Oryzias latipes: one gene and its partner. The protein of the gene in region 2 interacts with the protein of the main gene of each other region in a pairwise test. Links are inferred from orthologs where the notes say so. Each region holds a gene or a part of one and is shown on either strand. Other genes may lie near its edges.

Evidence for each region. The genes of interacting proteins can lie anywhere in the genome.
Region 1: the proteins of bag4 (region 2) and unkl interact in binary tests that used the Homo sapiens proteins (3 or more experiments, as listed by UniProt). The link is inferred for Oryzias latipes from reciprocal best matches to the Homo sapiens genes BAG4 and UNKL.

The regions. Positions count from the first base shown.
Region 1 is NC_019866.2:8,065,101-8,072,576, reverse strand, and holds part of unkl (putative E3 ubiquitin-protein ligase UNKL), read right to left. Parts: intron 7,132-7,476; coding exon 6,922-7,131; intron 5,385-6,921; coding exon 5,208-5,384; intron 4,802-5,207; coding exon 4,668-4,801; intron 4,549-4,667; coding exon 4,413-4,548; intron 4,342-4,412; coding exon 4,224-4,341; intron 4,073-4,223; coding exon 3,988-4,072; intron 3,856-3,987; coding exon 3,689-3,855; intron 3,335-3,688; coding exon 3,146-3,334; intron 2,814-3,145; coding exon 2,763-2,813; intron 2,674-2,762; coding exon 2,496-2,673; intron 2,409-2,495; coding exon 2,319-2,408; intron 2,243-2,318; coding exon 2,009-2,242; intron 1,850-2,008; coding exon 1,662-1,849; intron 1,580-1,661; coding exon 1,322-1,579; intron 1,177-1,321; coding exon of another isoform or gene 1,140-1,176; coding exon 984-1,139; 3' UTR 1-983. UniProt on the Homo sapiens protein: May participate in a protein complex showing an E3 ligase activity regulated by RAC1. Ubiquitination is directed towards itself and possibly other substrates, such as SMARCD2/BAF60b. Intrinsic E3 ligase activity has not been proven.
Region 2 is NC_019867.2:18,632,207-18,640,371, forward strand, and holds bag4 (BAG family molecular chaperone regulator 4), read right to left. Parts: upstream 4,321-8,165; 5' UTR 4,149-4,320; coding exon 4,059-4,148; intron 3,521-4,058; coding exon 3,401-3,520; intron 3,201-3,400; coding exon 2,985-3,200; intron 2,489-2,984; coding exon 2,219-2,488; intron 2,127-2,218; coding exon 1,665-2,126; 3' UTR 1,005-1,664; downstream 1-1,004. Other genes in the region: U6 snRNA-associated Sm-like protein LSm1, read left to right, coding at 4,869-4,914, 5,025-5,093, 5,224-5,339, 6,309-6,479. UniProt on the Homo sapiens protein: Inhibits the chaperone activity of HSP70/HSC70 by promoting substrate release. Prevents constitutive TNFRSF1A signaling. Negative regulator of PRKN translocation to damaged mitochondria.

The sequences.
Region 1 (7,476 bases), on a different chromosome or scaffold from region 2:
AGTCAAAATATGAAATTTTACTCAAACATATTTCATAAGATTTTTATGGTTTAGCTGCCAAATTAATTTTATTTGCATTTAATTTGTGTTCCTTTTTTGCTTACTGAAAAACATTCATTTTTGTAAAAAAAAAAAAAAAAAAAAAAAAAAAAAAAATTTACATAAAAAATAAGATGCAATATTTGTATTTTGATATAAACTTTGGTGGGATCCAGGAAAAGACGCTCAAATGCGTTTTGAGCTAAAGCTTAGCTTAGTGACTGATAGATATTATTGTATGAAAAACACTGCAGTTTTTTTATGAACTTAAAAAGAATCACTTCTACAGTTGACAAAAAAACCTTCTCAAAAGCTTAATACAGATTTCTAAAATGATATACATGTATTTATATACATATATATATATATTTATCTGTTCATTTCTGAAGTTGTTTTTGTATATTTTCTTTTTTGAAAAGCTGGTGCTGAATGCCTTCAATCATTCTCCGGAAAGTTCATTTTGATGCTACCTCACTCCTCAGGGGGTTTCAATCTTTCATTCTCCTGACGTTTATCACCGCTGTCCATTTTAAAAGATGTCATTTTGCTCAACTTGTCTCACTGTTTAGTTCTTTTTCTGTTTATTTGGAAAAATCTATAGCTGTGTTTTGCTTTCAGATTAAATATGAAAATGTTGATCTGTAACTGGACCAAAGCCCAGCGCCTTTTACTGTGCCTAAAGCTGGAATAATACGGTTATTTATAATCTAATCAGAGAATATGCAGTATAAAATGTTATGTCCAACAGAACAGAAAATAAAAAGAGCTACCTTAGAAATGAATGTCTACTGGGAACACCTGATTTATAATACTGATTTCTAATATTGTGTAATTCAGATTATAGTCAGACGTCAGAAAAAAACAGACATCACTGCTTAGAAAAGGTGTGATTAGTAGTTCTTAACAGGATTAAGTTTCTAAATAGTAGCTCGAGTTTCTGTACATCACCACTTGACTATTTTTGTTTTACAATAAGGACATTCTGCTTTACTAGGTGCACAGTTCTCACAAAGTACATAATGTTGGCAAGGTTGCAGAACAACGCAACGATCATGGTTTTGGCAAACTATACATTTCTTTGACTGAAGCTGATAAATTACCTGTTGGGGGAAGAAAAGAGTCGATATGAGCTGCAAACTACAAGAAAAAAAGAAAACCTGTTCATGCAAATTGTTGAAATAAGCATGCTTCATGACAGAACGGGTGCTTTGTAACAACCTAACAAACGGTCTTACTCAGACGCTACAAAATGAAATGCTGTTTGAGATCTAGACTTTCTTACCCCGTCTATAAGGTCTAGGTCATTACGTAGCTGACTCTGGATAGAGTGGAGTTTGGACAGGGAGAGCTGGTCCAGCTCTCCGTAGCTACGGAGGAGAGGAGTTCCAGGGGTGCGACAAAACACGTCAAAGTCTCCCTGGAGTTCTTTCAGCTTGCGCTCTGCGTCTTCCCATTTCTGCTCTGCCAGCTGCCGCTCGGCCTCAGCCGTCTTTGCTTGCTCCTTCGCTTCGTGCGCGTCTTTCTGACAAGCTTCAAACGCCTGGAACGAAAGCCAAACTTGGCTTTTAACAACATCAACTTGAAGCTTTGTGCTGCGGCAGAAGTGGGGTTAGACGGCTGACCTGCTTGACTTGATGCCAGGCCTCCTCCCATTGTTTGATCTTCCTTTTAGCTTCATCCAGCTCTCGAAAAAGGCGGGCCAGATCAGTGCTGCTGGATGTGGAGGTCAGGCTGCTGAAAACTGGGGATGGACTTGGAGAAAAGCTGCCACTTACAAAGTCCCAGATGTTGCTTGCTCCTCCATTCAAACCTAGATGTGAAATAGTTTTACAATAGTTAGAAAAAGGATTTTTTTAATGAAGAAAATCCTTTTACAATCTAAGTTGCATCTTACTTTGAATCTAAAGAATGTGGTTGATTATACTGCATTTACTTTTGTAAAACACTTTTAATGTCTGCTGCCGCTTACCCAGGGAATTCTGGGAAGAGGAGGTGGGTGTTCCCAGGAGGCCATGTTCCTGCTTGGTTAACATGGCGGCATGGTTTTGCTGAGACACTGCTCCAGACAGCAGCGACTGTGACAGCGACTGGGAGAGGGAGCTCAGCGGAGAGGTGGAAAGCGATGACGAGGAATTAAAAGAGGAGGACCTCGCCAGGGAGCCGGGAATGTTGACGGGAGCCGACCCACCCAGCACCCTTTGACCTACGAAGCAACGTCAAAGCGGCTGTCACCCGAGAGAAACTAAAAACATTTACCGGCACAATTTGGAATCTCTTACTTGAAAGTCCTAAACTGTTATCTTGCTCCTCTAACTCCTTATCAAGAGATGCAACGTTGATGTCGCTGAAATTGAGGTCTAAAGCAGAACCTGATGAGGAGACAAAAGAATCTTGACTTACACCTGAAAGCAGAACCTTTCTAAGCCTGTTAACCCTCGGGGTTAGCGTGCAGTTACCGATGACGGACTCCACCGTGTTGCTCCCTGGATAGAAAGGAGTGGCCTTTGCATTCATGGTGGATAAGGTGGTGGGTGAAGAACTATCGGATCCAATACTGGAGGCCAAACTTGATGTGATGCTGGACGTGAAGCTTGATGCCAACGGGTTCACAGCAGAAAATACAGTATTTTGCATCTAAAGAAAAAAGAAAATATATATATATGTAACTATTAAAGAACGTTTGACAAATACTGGGTTTACATTTTACAGATTTATGTACAAACCTGCTTATCTTGGTCCATTAATTTTTGCTCCGTCTGTCCCTTACACTTTATCTATAAACAACATTGGAAACGTCAGTAACTTTCTCCTTATATCCAGTCTATATGAAATAAAATACTATTTCTGGGTTCTTTTGTTGCCGTTCTGACATCTTTGCTCAGAAACTAGTTCAGGATTGAGCCGTTTTAGAAATTAAATCGAAAAATTAAAAAGTTAAATAACTGCACAGATCAGGGCAAATACAATGAATCACACAAAATGATCTAAAATCGAAAATATGTGATAGCATGAACTGATGACGGAAGAAAACAACATCAAATAAAATCAAATAAACTTTAAATAATGAATGGCAGTTGATCATCCTAATATTTGTGCGTCTGTATACCTGATCCTCACGTTCAAAGCCCGGAGCTTTGGGATAGTTAGACATCAGAGATGGAACACTGGATGAACTGGACTCTGAACATAAACTACTACTAGTTAGGGACACGGGCCTGCTGATGGATCCCACTGGGGAGAGCAAGCTTTCGCTTCCTGAGGATGTTGTTACTGTTGTATTATTTGAACATGAAACCTGAGAAAGACAAGTGCACACGATCCCATAAAAATGACGATCGGAACATTACAAGCTACATGTAGCCATCATTTAGGAATAGAAGCAACAATTGCGATACTATTGGTTTCAATGAGAGTCTGTGTGTTGTCTGTTTTGTGACAAAATGTGAAAAAAAACAACAACTAATAAATGGATAAGAAATGTAAGACAAACTGAAAGATGGTAACACAATGACAACAAATGAACCGAATCTCTGACTAAATTCTGGCTCAAACAGCTTCAAAAAACGGGCTCCCTCTTAGCTTTAACACCCACTTTGGTCAAAGAATTTTCATAATAAAAGCACTGATAGAGAAAGAGAAAAGAACCTACACTTCCTAGTTGTCCGTTGCTACTGCTTGTGTTGGTGGTGGAGTTTCCCCCACTGTTCCACTCACCAACTGGACCCTCTAAATACTGCTGAGAGCCCAGCTGGGCCTGTGAACCCGACTGTATGGCTGACAGCAATGAGTTCATTGTCTCCTCTGTGGAGGGAATTCCTGAAAACAGTCAAAATACAGACTACTAAGTGACTTGTATCTAAGTAAAAGACATTTTTAAACTAGTAAAATGTAAAAATGAAAATATCAAAGCAGAATTTTCGACACTTGCAACTAAAAGGATCGACTTACTTTCTACATGTGCAAATGCACAAAACGGCCCTCTGGGGCAGTATCCTGTTTGACGCATATCATTGCATTTGGTAGATTTGTAGATCTGCATGCAAAAACAAACCGATTATTTTTGAAGCATCCACTGGAAGGTTTTCAGCAACCGGGCGTCCCAAATTCCACAAGTTAAGTTCATTATTTCCTTCAGAAACGCACACAGCAAAGAGGTTGAGGAACCTTCAGAAAGTGTCTCTCACCTCTGGGTGAAACTGCTGTTCAGTGCGAGAGTGACAATACTGGCAACTGTCCCCACTGTCACACTTTGAGGGTTCACCCCATTCATCCCCGTGTTTCACGTTGGGACAAGGAGTTGACCTGCAGGTCAAAGGCTTTATTATGACCATAATGTTGACATTAACGTGTTCATTCTAAATGACAAAACTCACCTGTACTTGAACTTTCGTGGATTTCGCCTTCGATCCCTACTGTTGTGGTAGTGAGGACATGCATAGCCCTGTCTGCATAGTCTGGGGGGTTTGGTACACTGATCTGTCTTATAATTGGCTAAAACAAAGTTGGTATCTGCAAAAACAAGTCTTCATGTTAAATTCTTGTGACTTTTAGCATTGCTGCATATTTCATTGTTTTCTTATATAAGCTGAGCTTATTTTAGAAAAAATATTTATTCGGGGGTTGCCCACCTTGCCACCTGGGATCTTCAGTTAAAGTTTTCTCAATCATAGCTTGACTAGCGAGCACACCAGGTTGTAAATCAGGAATACCATCCCCAGATCCCAACTGACCATTCTGGAGGGCCTCTTGTGCTTGGATCTCTCTGTGAATACACACAAAAAGATAAGGAGATATTAGAAATAATAATAATAATAATAATAATGAGATTAATGTGTAAATCCAACCTTCATTAAAACACTTTAAACACTTTGAAAATATATTTTCTTTGTTTTATTAAAACAATTTCAATTATAATGTGCAAAATGTTAGAAAACCCAATCAAGATATCTCATCATAAAACATATGTTACATTATTATGTTGATACTTATTGGTGCAGAAAGACAAATCGGAAATTACAAATAGTAAAAGTCATGCTGGTGCAAAACTAATCCTGCACTGAAGATGATCTAAGGCTAAACTAGTTGCTGCAAATGCTGCATTGTGAGGTTTATGGGAGGAGAAGCTCAAAAATATAAAAGCAAAGGACAACAGCTGCTCCGCAGGTCACCTGATATCATAGACTGGAGGCCGGAGATCGTGTGGGCCGTGAGCAAAAGCACAGTGAAGGCCGTTCTTCACACAATGCCCTCGAGCATCTGTCTCGTGGATACAAGTCCCAGTCTTGTAATATCGTAGATGGTACTTGCGCTCGGTGTCGCCCGTGGTTCGGTGTAGATAAGGACAACTGCAGACACAAAAACTCAATTTTAGAAGATCTAAATAAAACAAAAAAAAAACTTATTCTGAAAATAAAATATTGCAGAAGTATAAGCTTCAAAAACATTTTAGACTGAAACTTCAGGAACAAACATTTAATTTAAATGCTTAATGATGAAATAATCAAAACCTTTAGCATATTTAATGAATAAAAGAAATTAAAATAAATTAGCTGAAATTTTAGGGAATTTAAAAAAAAAAATAAACCTAAAAAAAAAGAGCAAAAACTATTATATTGATCCATATTTTCAGGGCTCCTAACACCTCTTTTACACAAATAGGCCAGTAAGCTTCTTGAATAAAATCTGCCTTCCTTGAGCAGCAACAGTTGCTATGACAACGCATAAGGTCATGCAAAAATAGCCTTGATCAGCAGAGGAGAACTTTCAACGACTACAATAGTCACAACCTATTATTATGATTTCTGTAATAAATAACTCTTCAAACATTTGAATCATAGTTAATTAAGCAGTTTACAGATTGTGTTATAGTGTGTGATCACATTTCCTCTGCCAGCTCTCCTCTGTTTAGTCCAACAGAGGCTGAACAAAAAACTGCTTTAAACATGCCAAAGACCTTTAGCAATAGGTTTTTTTTATATTACATTACAAAACTTAGTCTACGACAGAGTATAAGGACCAAAATAAAAGAAAAAAAGTACAAATAAATGAGAATGAAGTTGTGAAAAGTTACAATATTACAAGTACAAGATCCCAAACTTATGCTTCAAAAGTTGGAATTTTACATAAATATAATTTTTTTATGAAATGTTATATTTAGCTTTCCAAATGTTTAAACAAAGACAATCAAACATTATCTGTTTAGTATATGTTGCAAACAATTCAGAGGAACAGGATGAACATCACTGTTCAAGAATATCACTGAATCTGCCTAATTGGGGGGGATGTACAACTTTATTTTCATTAAAATAAAATTTTACTTCCAACAAAGTAGACTTTTTTCCTTTCAAAATTATGAATTTTATAAATTATAAAATGATGACCTTTCTTTAATAATGGAACAATGTTATTTTCATTATATTTGGACTTTTTTCCTCGTACGGTAATTTTATGACTGTCTTTCTAAGAATTGTACAATTTTTTCTCGTGTAAAGGAAACACAACACGGATCAGTTATCGGAGAAGTGAATAATGCTTAAAACTAGCATGTCTTTAATTATTTACTAGATAATATTTATTTAATTTCAGCTGATGACAGATCTGCATACAAAACTTAAAACCTTCATTTAAAAAAATAAACAACCACACGCTTTCTAGGTTTATATACCTTTAAAACCTAACCACTATAGTATACTTCCAAAAAACACTCAAAAGCATGAACTATTCAATCAACAGAATTAAAGTCAGAAACTCAGTAAAGTTAGTGCCCCCAAAAAATGTCTTTATTTTGGTATTTCTGGTTCACGAGAAAGAAATCCCTCTATGACGTATTGGACTCCAGTTATATAGCACAACATATAGCACCAAATTTTGACCGGAACTTACTCATCTCCATCTGGACAAATGCCTGTAGTCTCGTCGTATTTCGTGCAGTACACGTCCGGGCTGTAGTTAAAGGTTCCGTCTCTTCTTCGGATGGGTCGCCTGCGTCGCTGGTTAAGAAAATGCCAATGAAAGCAGGTAAAGGGTCTGTGCTGAGTGCACTTGTGCTGGAGGAACAACGGACACTGCTCTGTCCTGAACTCCTTTAAGTACCTGAAACAAGCGGACAAAAACAACAACAAAAAGATGTTTAAGTTACCCGTACAACGTCTACACAGCAACAAACGAAACCAAAACAAAGAAGGAGTAATGGTGTCCTGCCGTAATGGTCGTGCTGAAGCAGCTCATTTTAGGTCACTGACGTTGGCTTGGTATTCTGAACACAAACTGCGCAAGAGTTTCCGCGTGCGCTCGTGAGAAACCCCGCAGCGTACGTCAGTAAAAATACGTAACAAGGGGGAACACAAAATAAGGCCGAGCTTTGCCACAAGCAGACTGATTAGCAGGATTCTTGCTAACCATGTAGCACAGCAAGCTATAAACACAAGGCAGGCGCCT
Region 2 (8,165 bases):
ATGAAACCTCGTGAGCGTTTTGGCACGTTACACAAACAGTATTGTTCCTGTGTCACTCAATACTGACTCCTGCTGGACTGAAAACAATTGTTCACCCACATCCTGATTAAATAAATCTTAGTGAAAAATATGTAACATATAAAATGTCAAATAATGTGAATGTGTGTTATAATGTGACAAAGCCACAGTGTGGATGTAATGTTGCTCAGTTACATATTCTCTGAGTGGGGGGGTATTTCTTTCCACAGAATTTTTATAAAAAAAAAAGTTTTTCAAGTGTTTTGGCATTCAGCCTATTACATTTTTTTGGAGGCAAGTTCTCGAGCTTTGAGAACACTCGTTCACATGGCACTGATGATGTGGGAGTGCATAAAAACTGTAGGGACAGCCTGAAGAGGTTTGGGAAATTGGTTTTATGATGGGTTCAATACTGCAAGGGATCCTGGGTCCTTGGCAAGTTGCTCTCAGCAAGGGATCTCTGGACTTCAATAATAGAATCTGCTGTGGCGTTGTTCGTCTTCTTGCCAACATCCTTGTCCAGCTGCTGCCACATGTTATCAAAGAACCAACAGATTTGATTTGAGTAGTCAAGTACAAATCAGTACGTAACTTTCAAAGAAATACGTGCAAAAATAAACGGATATACTTGAACACAACATGCCTGAAGTGGATACCGATAACTGTTGTGAAGAGGGTCCAGGCTGTGACTCAGTAGATGTGCGCCCAATCACAGCAGGACGTTCCATTTTCAAATTGTTCACTGCTTCACCACACCTTAAGGAACTCAAAAATCCAAGTATTTTACATCTGGGGTCTAGAAGTCTTGATAGGGTTATTACACTTGATGACTCCAGATTGGAAGCAGTGTCTGTGACTCGTAGCCTAAGGTTGTGTATTGCTACCTGTGTGTGCACAGATGAGCCAATAACCCTGCTGCACTTGGAGGCAGCCTTCTGCCAGTTCTGAGGCAATTACATAGTTGCAGCAAAATAAAATCAATTGGATTACAAACTCATAAAAATATTTTAATCATTTTACTATTTTCTTTTTTAATAATTATAGCAATTGTTTTGTCAGAATTCCATCATCATAGCTGACAGATTAACACATAACAGAGACATTTCCATGCAAAACTTGTTGTATTTTTTAGACATTTTTTGTTGTTGTTCTTCCAAGACTTAAAAAACTATTTTCTGAAAGATGGCACTTTCTTTAACTAGACCAACATGGAAAAACAGACTTTGCTAAACCAGAAATATGAAATGCTGCTGAGATTTTAAAAAATAAACTTTTTCAATTTTTTAACCTGAAAAAACAAACAAACAAGTGAGGCCATCTAAATGAATTTAACAATGATTTCATCTTTTTCTATGCGAAAGTGTGAAAACAAATAAATGGAGACAAAGCAGAACTTTGACCGTAATCTTATCTGTATTAGGAGTAGATTTGAAAACAAAAGACATGGCATTCATGTGTAGGTCTGATTTTAAGTTCCCTTCAAATTTCATCTAACTCTTCCTTCGGTCTGTAATTTCTTCATATAATGTTTTTAAGGTAGAAAAAAGAACATTGTTATAGTTCTGCAGAGCAGGACTTTTGTCAAGGAAGATCTTAGAGAACATAAGAAAACTTGGTGGTCCACAAGCAAGTTAATTGAGCCCGCTTCAGAAGGCTTTCTTCTCTAGTTGGTCAAGTATGGCCTGAATTCTCTGCACGGCTTCTTTCCGTGCTTGTCGAACATTGTCCTGTCCCTGAGTCTCCACGGAGTCCAGCTCTAACAGCTCTTTGGTCAGAAGTTCCTCAAGACAGCGGTAGCTCTTGTCTGTCTTTTTGCCTACAAACTCGTCAACATCTTCCTGAAGTAGCTGAACTCTGGTCATCACATGCTGAACCTTGGCAAGGCCTGGATTATCACTCAAGGGCAGCTGTCTGGTCTGACCTGCGGGCGGTGCAGGAGCTTGGGTTGGGGCTGATGGGGGGGGCTCAGCCTGTGAGGTGTTAGTATCACCTCTCCCTGTTTTGTTGTAGATTTGTGGAGGAGAAGTTATTTCAGCAGGCTTTCCATTAGGGGGTGGTGTTGGCCTGGGTTTAGGCCCCACCTGCAGAGGGCGTTGGTGATGCTGATCCTGAAACAACACAAGATAGACATATTTGCTTTTATCTCCTTACGGACTCTTGAATAATTGTTACACAATGCACGTCAGCTGCAGAGCCTTACTTTGGGCTGATAGGGTGGTGGGGCACCAGTCCCGGTTCCTGGCCACGCTGGAGGATGAGGTGGACGGACGGGATTCCCGTAATGATTTTGGGGAGGTTGCTGACCTCCCTGCCACTGTTGCTGTGAGTGGGCATACTGGCTGGGGTGTCCCCATGCTTCAGCCTGGGAATTAGGATGAAGAGCCTGGCCGGTTGGGTAAGGAGAATTCGAGTGAATTGCATGTCCACCTTCACTGTAGTGTGGGTATGATCCAGGAGGATATCCAGGACCCTGAGAGCACAAACAAGACAAACATGTTTATTCTCAAAAATGTAACATTACAAGAAATGGATGTCTCATTTTGGTGCTTTCTAAACACATTTGGGCTGCTCGATATAAGGAAAACTTGTGATATGCGATATTGATGATCAATATTGCGATGACGATATAACTTGCGGTGATACGTGAACACACCAAAACAACCAAAAACATCATTTCCATTTCACTGCAACGGTTTAAATTTTTTTTTTTAAAGTAAACCCTCGTCTAGCATAAAAGGGCACCATCCGATTGGTCAACAATGTGAAGGCGTCCATCCGATTGGTCAAATGCATAAAATGATTTGTTTGATTCCTTAAATACGTCAAGCTTCCATAAGATTGTTTTAGCAAACTCATATAAATAATAATAAGTAAAAAGACTGAAATATTAAACCAAGAACCTTTTGCTTCTATTTAAGTATTTTGTAAGTAATGTGAGTGTCTCATTAATGCGTAAATAAACTCACCCCTTGACAGTGTGGACCAGTGTAATGATGATGCTGAGCGTGAGGCGGCTCGCTGCTTTGATCTGCCGGACAGCCTTGGTGCGGATAGGAACTTGGACTTGCTCTCCTTGGATCAGCACAGTAGAAGGGGTTGGATGGGTGGAAGCTACTTGCCGGGTACGGACTCTGTGCATGGTTGTACGCTCCATGGCCGTTCGGATATCCTCCTGGCATTACCTAAAAATAAAAAATAAGTAAAAAAAGAAAAACAGGGACAAGCCTGAGAGGAAATTGACCACTCTGTGAAAACAGCACTTTTGATACCACAACTATGAGTGTTTGTGCAAAAGAAAGATGAGGAAATTGATGAGAATCAAAACAGTGAGCAATATATTAAAATGTTGAAGGAAAGGAATGGCTCGTATAGTGAGATGTACCTGTGGATTGTACTGCGGATGCAGATCTGACGCTGAAGGATAGGCATTTGCGTAGGGCCCTGTGGAGTGGGACTGCGGATACCAGTATTGTGGAGGGTAACTTGGATACTGAGGAGCATCCTGTAAAAGGCAAGTTGACACGAGACAGCGACTCACTTTATGTGATCCAACCCATTTTGTGTAGCTATCCTAAATCTCAAATAGAGATATGGAGAACTTGATGCTGAGAAACTTAAATGATAAACGCATTGATAAACATATACTCGTGTCTTTCTAGAAAACTAAATAAATGGATGTTAACTTGTGTTTAAATGAATGAAATAATTTGAGCTAAACCAATGATTAACTCATGAAACTCTATATGATCGCTACGATCTCCTAACGTGCAGAAGTGTTGTGTTAAATCGATATTTTCGAGTCAATGTAATTTAAAAACAAGGACTTAACTAATAAGCTAGCAGTAACTATTACATAATGCCCGCTAGCTATATTAGCTATGAAGCTAGCATGATGAACATTGCGAAGAACTTCTGCACGAACGAACAAACGGATTTTATTGTTGGGAGATTTTAAATTAATCTTTGTTTCTTTAAAGCACAATATGATCTGTCACCCCCTCCCCCCAGTAAAGTTTTTTTTAATTAATCTGCTCGCTTACCATAGTGTTACTGCAGCTTCCGTGACTATTTCCCGAGTTAGTAGAGGGCCAGCCAGTTTTCCCGTTTGGCTGCATTTGGGGTTTCTGCATCAGTTACACGTATTTTGCCATCTTCCAAAATAAGCAAGACTATCACTAGTTTACGGTTCCGCTAGAAATCTGACAGCTGATCAAAGCAGCAGCTTCCCCGCAGAAGTCAGGATCGCCTGATTGCAACCAAGAAATGAATAAATGACGCGGAACTCTGGAGACATGGTACTGCGTCTTTAAGTCGAGTAGAACCATTACAAGTAAAGAGGAGTCACTCTCTAAAACTTTCTGATCGAAATTGCTGGATGAAACCTTACAATTGCAAAACGCAGAAACGGGGAACACAATTAGAATATTTTTAATTAAAGATATTTATTTTCAATATATTTTACTGCTAAGACCAACTATTGAATTACTCCTGTAGCAGTTGTATTTTTTAAACATGTGACGCAACTTTTCAAAATTTTCATTTACGATCTTTGATGTGGCACATGCGTTGGAAGGGTTACCATCCATCATCAAATGGGGACATTTAATCCAAACATGTTTTATAGAAAATTCTTTTTGTATCATAAAATGTATGATACTTTTGTTTAAATCATTTTTACACAGTTATTTTTAGAAAATTCGAGCTATGCGCAATTACGGTGCGGAAGGGGTTAAATGTTTACAGGAAGTGTATAAAAGCACTTCCTGTGCACCGTCAAATAGAAACGGGTAAAAACATTCATGGCTTGATGGTTCAGAAATCAACTAAACGCGTGAAAACTGCAACTAAACATGAATTACGTACCAGGGACGGCCAGTCTCATTGACGATATTGACAGTAAGTTGGGCCTTATAGAAATTGCTTTTTTTAATCATAAACAAACGACACAATGTATTAGCGTGTGCCGTGTGGACGCAGATTTTTTTTAAATGTTTTTAATTTCGCAGAAAAGCACTTGGTCCTGCTGCGAGATGGCAGAACACTAATCGGTTACCTGAGAAGCATCGATCAGTTTGGTAATAAAAAATGAGAATCTTCTAAACTCTTCCATGCGGGTTTATTTTTTTATTTTTATATGATTACGCGGTGTTTCAATAGTCCTAAATTTGTTTGTTTCTTTCTTTTTTTTTTTTTTTTGTTCCACAGCCAATTTAGTCTTTCATCAGACGGTGGAGCGTATCCACGTGGGAAAGAAATTTGGAGATATTCCCAGAGGTATCTTCATCGTCAGGGGAGAAAATGTAGTCCTGCTTGGGGAAATAGTAAGTGTTTTAGAGCAATTTTTTAGTTTGTTCTAAACTTGAATGTAATTTCTGGATCAAGTTTTATTTACGTGAACTTGTTCTCAGATGCTCCGTACAGCACCAAACATCAAACTCTGAATGTGGTCAAGCATCCAGGTCTCGCACTGCAGAAAATGATGTGACTCTTATTTAAAGATCAAGTTAAATTTATATGCAAGTAAATTGTTACTTTATATAGTTACTACAGTTATAAACTTTTTTTTTTGAAAAGTTGCTGCCTAAATGAATACTTGCTTAAAAAGGAAATTGCGCACACATTGACTGTAAAGGTACCTCCATGTTAAGGTTACTTAGCAAAAACAAAAAAGGCTTAATTTTACAACTTTTTCAAATTTGCTGTTTGGTCTAGCCAGATTTTTTATTTTTCTCTCCTGGTTTTCAATATGATATAAAAGAAAAGCGGGTGGGAAAAGTGGTGAGGATTGTCAATCTTTGCTCTTTCCATATAAATACAATGCATACTTCTTCTTACTTTTTTTTTTCTTAATTATAATTTAGATTACCAATGATTACACAAATGATTGCAGGATTGCTGCTAGTTTACCTCACAACCCCAACCTAACATGATGGTGGTAGAAATGAATACGGCAACAATATTAGAGCTATCCAGCCATAGTTTGGAGCCAGATCTCAGCTCCGATGAGGGAAACAAAGAGGCACATGCATCGTTTTGTCTACAATGGATGCATCAGAATAGAGTGGTGCAGGGAGCTTGTGGCTTACCATTCGAACTTGTGTCACACAAGTTTTTCGTGGGTCCTTGAACCACGGAGTTTAAGCATCTTTTTGGGCAAAACTATGAGCAGGCCATAGCATTGAGTACTAGCAACTTTTGTTAGTGTCATGGAATGATGCACAGAGCCTAAAAGAACTTGATGACATTTTCGGATCATAAGATTTGACCTCACTCTCCTGTGTCCTGTGCAGGATTTGGATAAGCCCTGCGACACAGTCTTGCAGCAGGTTTCAATTGAGGAGATCCTGGAGGAGCAGCGGTTGCAGCAGCAGGCCAAACAGGAAACGGAGAAAGTCAAAATGCAAGCTCTGAAGGACAGAGGCCTTTCCATACCCAAAGCTGATAATTTGGACGAGTATTGAACCCTTTACAAGCCTTTTAGTTTGTATAAGACAAATGGATTTTATGTTTAACTGAAGGGTGTCTTTTGTTTTGTGGCTAGAATCATGTAAGGCACAATACTGCATTGTTTTGTTTTGCTTTTTTTTCTTTTCTTAATAGTTTCATTTAAATTGTATGGGGATGTAAGAACTGTTTAAGCAAATGGTTACAACTTGACGGCCTTTTTACAGCAGCACTTTGTCATCAATCATCATAATGACGTGAACTTTTTATTTGGAGATGGTGGGTCTGCTAGTGACTAACACTCCTGTTCTCCATTAAAACAATTGAGTTTCACTTACTAAAGCCTGCTTGAAAAATCTTTTGTCTTTGAAGGTTTAATCTGCAAGTACACAGAAAGCGGTGCGTTTAGTCATTTAAGTATTTATTGGTGACTTGACTGGCTTCCTATTGGCTAATCAAAACGTTAATTCTGTTATAGGGATGATCTTTCAGATACTGATCAATTTCCCTCATTAGCTGCTAGAATAAAGTGACGTGTAAGAGAAGCTATGCGTTTTACAGTCATCTTTATATGTACCCCGTATACTTTTTTATTTTTTTTTATTTATTTTTTTCTTAACCTATAGCAGGGTTCTGCAACCTTCAGCACATAAAGAGCCATTTGGGTTGATGTCTCAATGACCACGCCCCAGTAGGAGTCAAAGTCTTTATTTTTTTATTTTTTTAAGACTAATTTGTCTTGGATACTAATATGATAAATATAGATGAACTGTTATTTGGCATAAATAAAAAAATATAAAGAGAAAATAGCTTTTTTTTTAAAATACCGGTAGTTTAAACTTTTGATGGAGGTTCATGTGACTTCCTCTCAATAAGTGTCCTGTTTCACATGGGATCCTCTCAATCCAGCAAATGTAGAAGTGTAATGTCAGCAGTGATTAAAAATAGATATTTTAGCATTTGAGGTGCATAACAGCCAACATTTGTAAATCAAATCAACAAAAAAAAATTAGAGCTAAGTGACCCTTGCCATATTTATTAGAACCATAAGGTGAACTTAAAAATCCTTCAATTTGTTAAATAGAAAACTCACCATCCATTACTCCTTTAGTAGGAATTCTGGCTGTGCTGACGGCTCTACAATTGAATTTCTGTGGTAAATGGCATTTTATTCAACTACAAAGCTGCACCACTTGGATTGTCAGCATTATGGGTACTGTAGGCAGAAGATCTGAAAGAAGATCGCTTATTTTTTCCTTTACTGTTCAGTTACCTGGGGCCTCATTTATAAAACTTTGCGTAGGATTTGCGTCAGAAGTGGCGTACGGATGAAACATAGGACGTGCGTACGCACAGAAATATTCGGAGTTATAAAACCGTGCGCACGCACATCCTACGCATCTTTCCCTTAAAAAATCACAACCGATTCTAAATGCTGCGCAGCTTTTGCGGCTACATGACACGCCTATAGTTGCCCATAAATAGTCCGTGAAACGCCCACAAATTAATATTTATGGCTTGCTAAATCATGGCAAACACAGAGGGGAATTCAAAAAAACGTAACTTCACTCAATGTGAAGTAGAAGTTATCGTTGGCGAGGTGGAAAAGAGGAGAAAAGTGTTGTCACCGGAGCTGACCCCTCTTGATGAGAAACTGGCCGCTATTATTGGGGAATCCCTATTAAGTCCCCCTTATCGGCGTC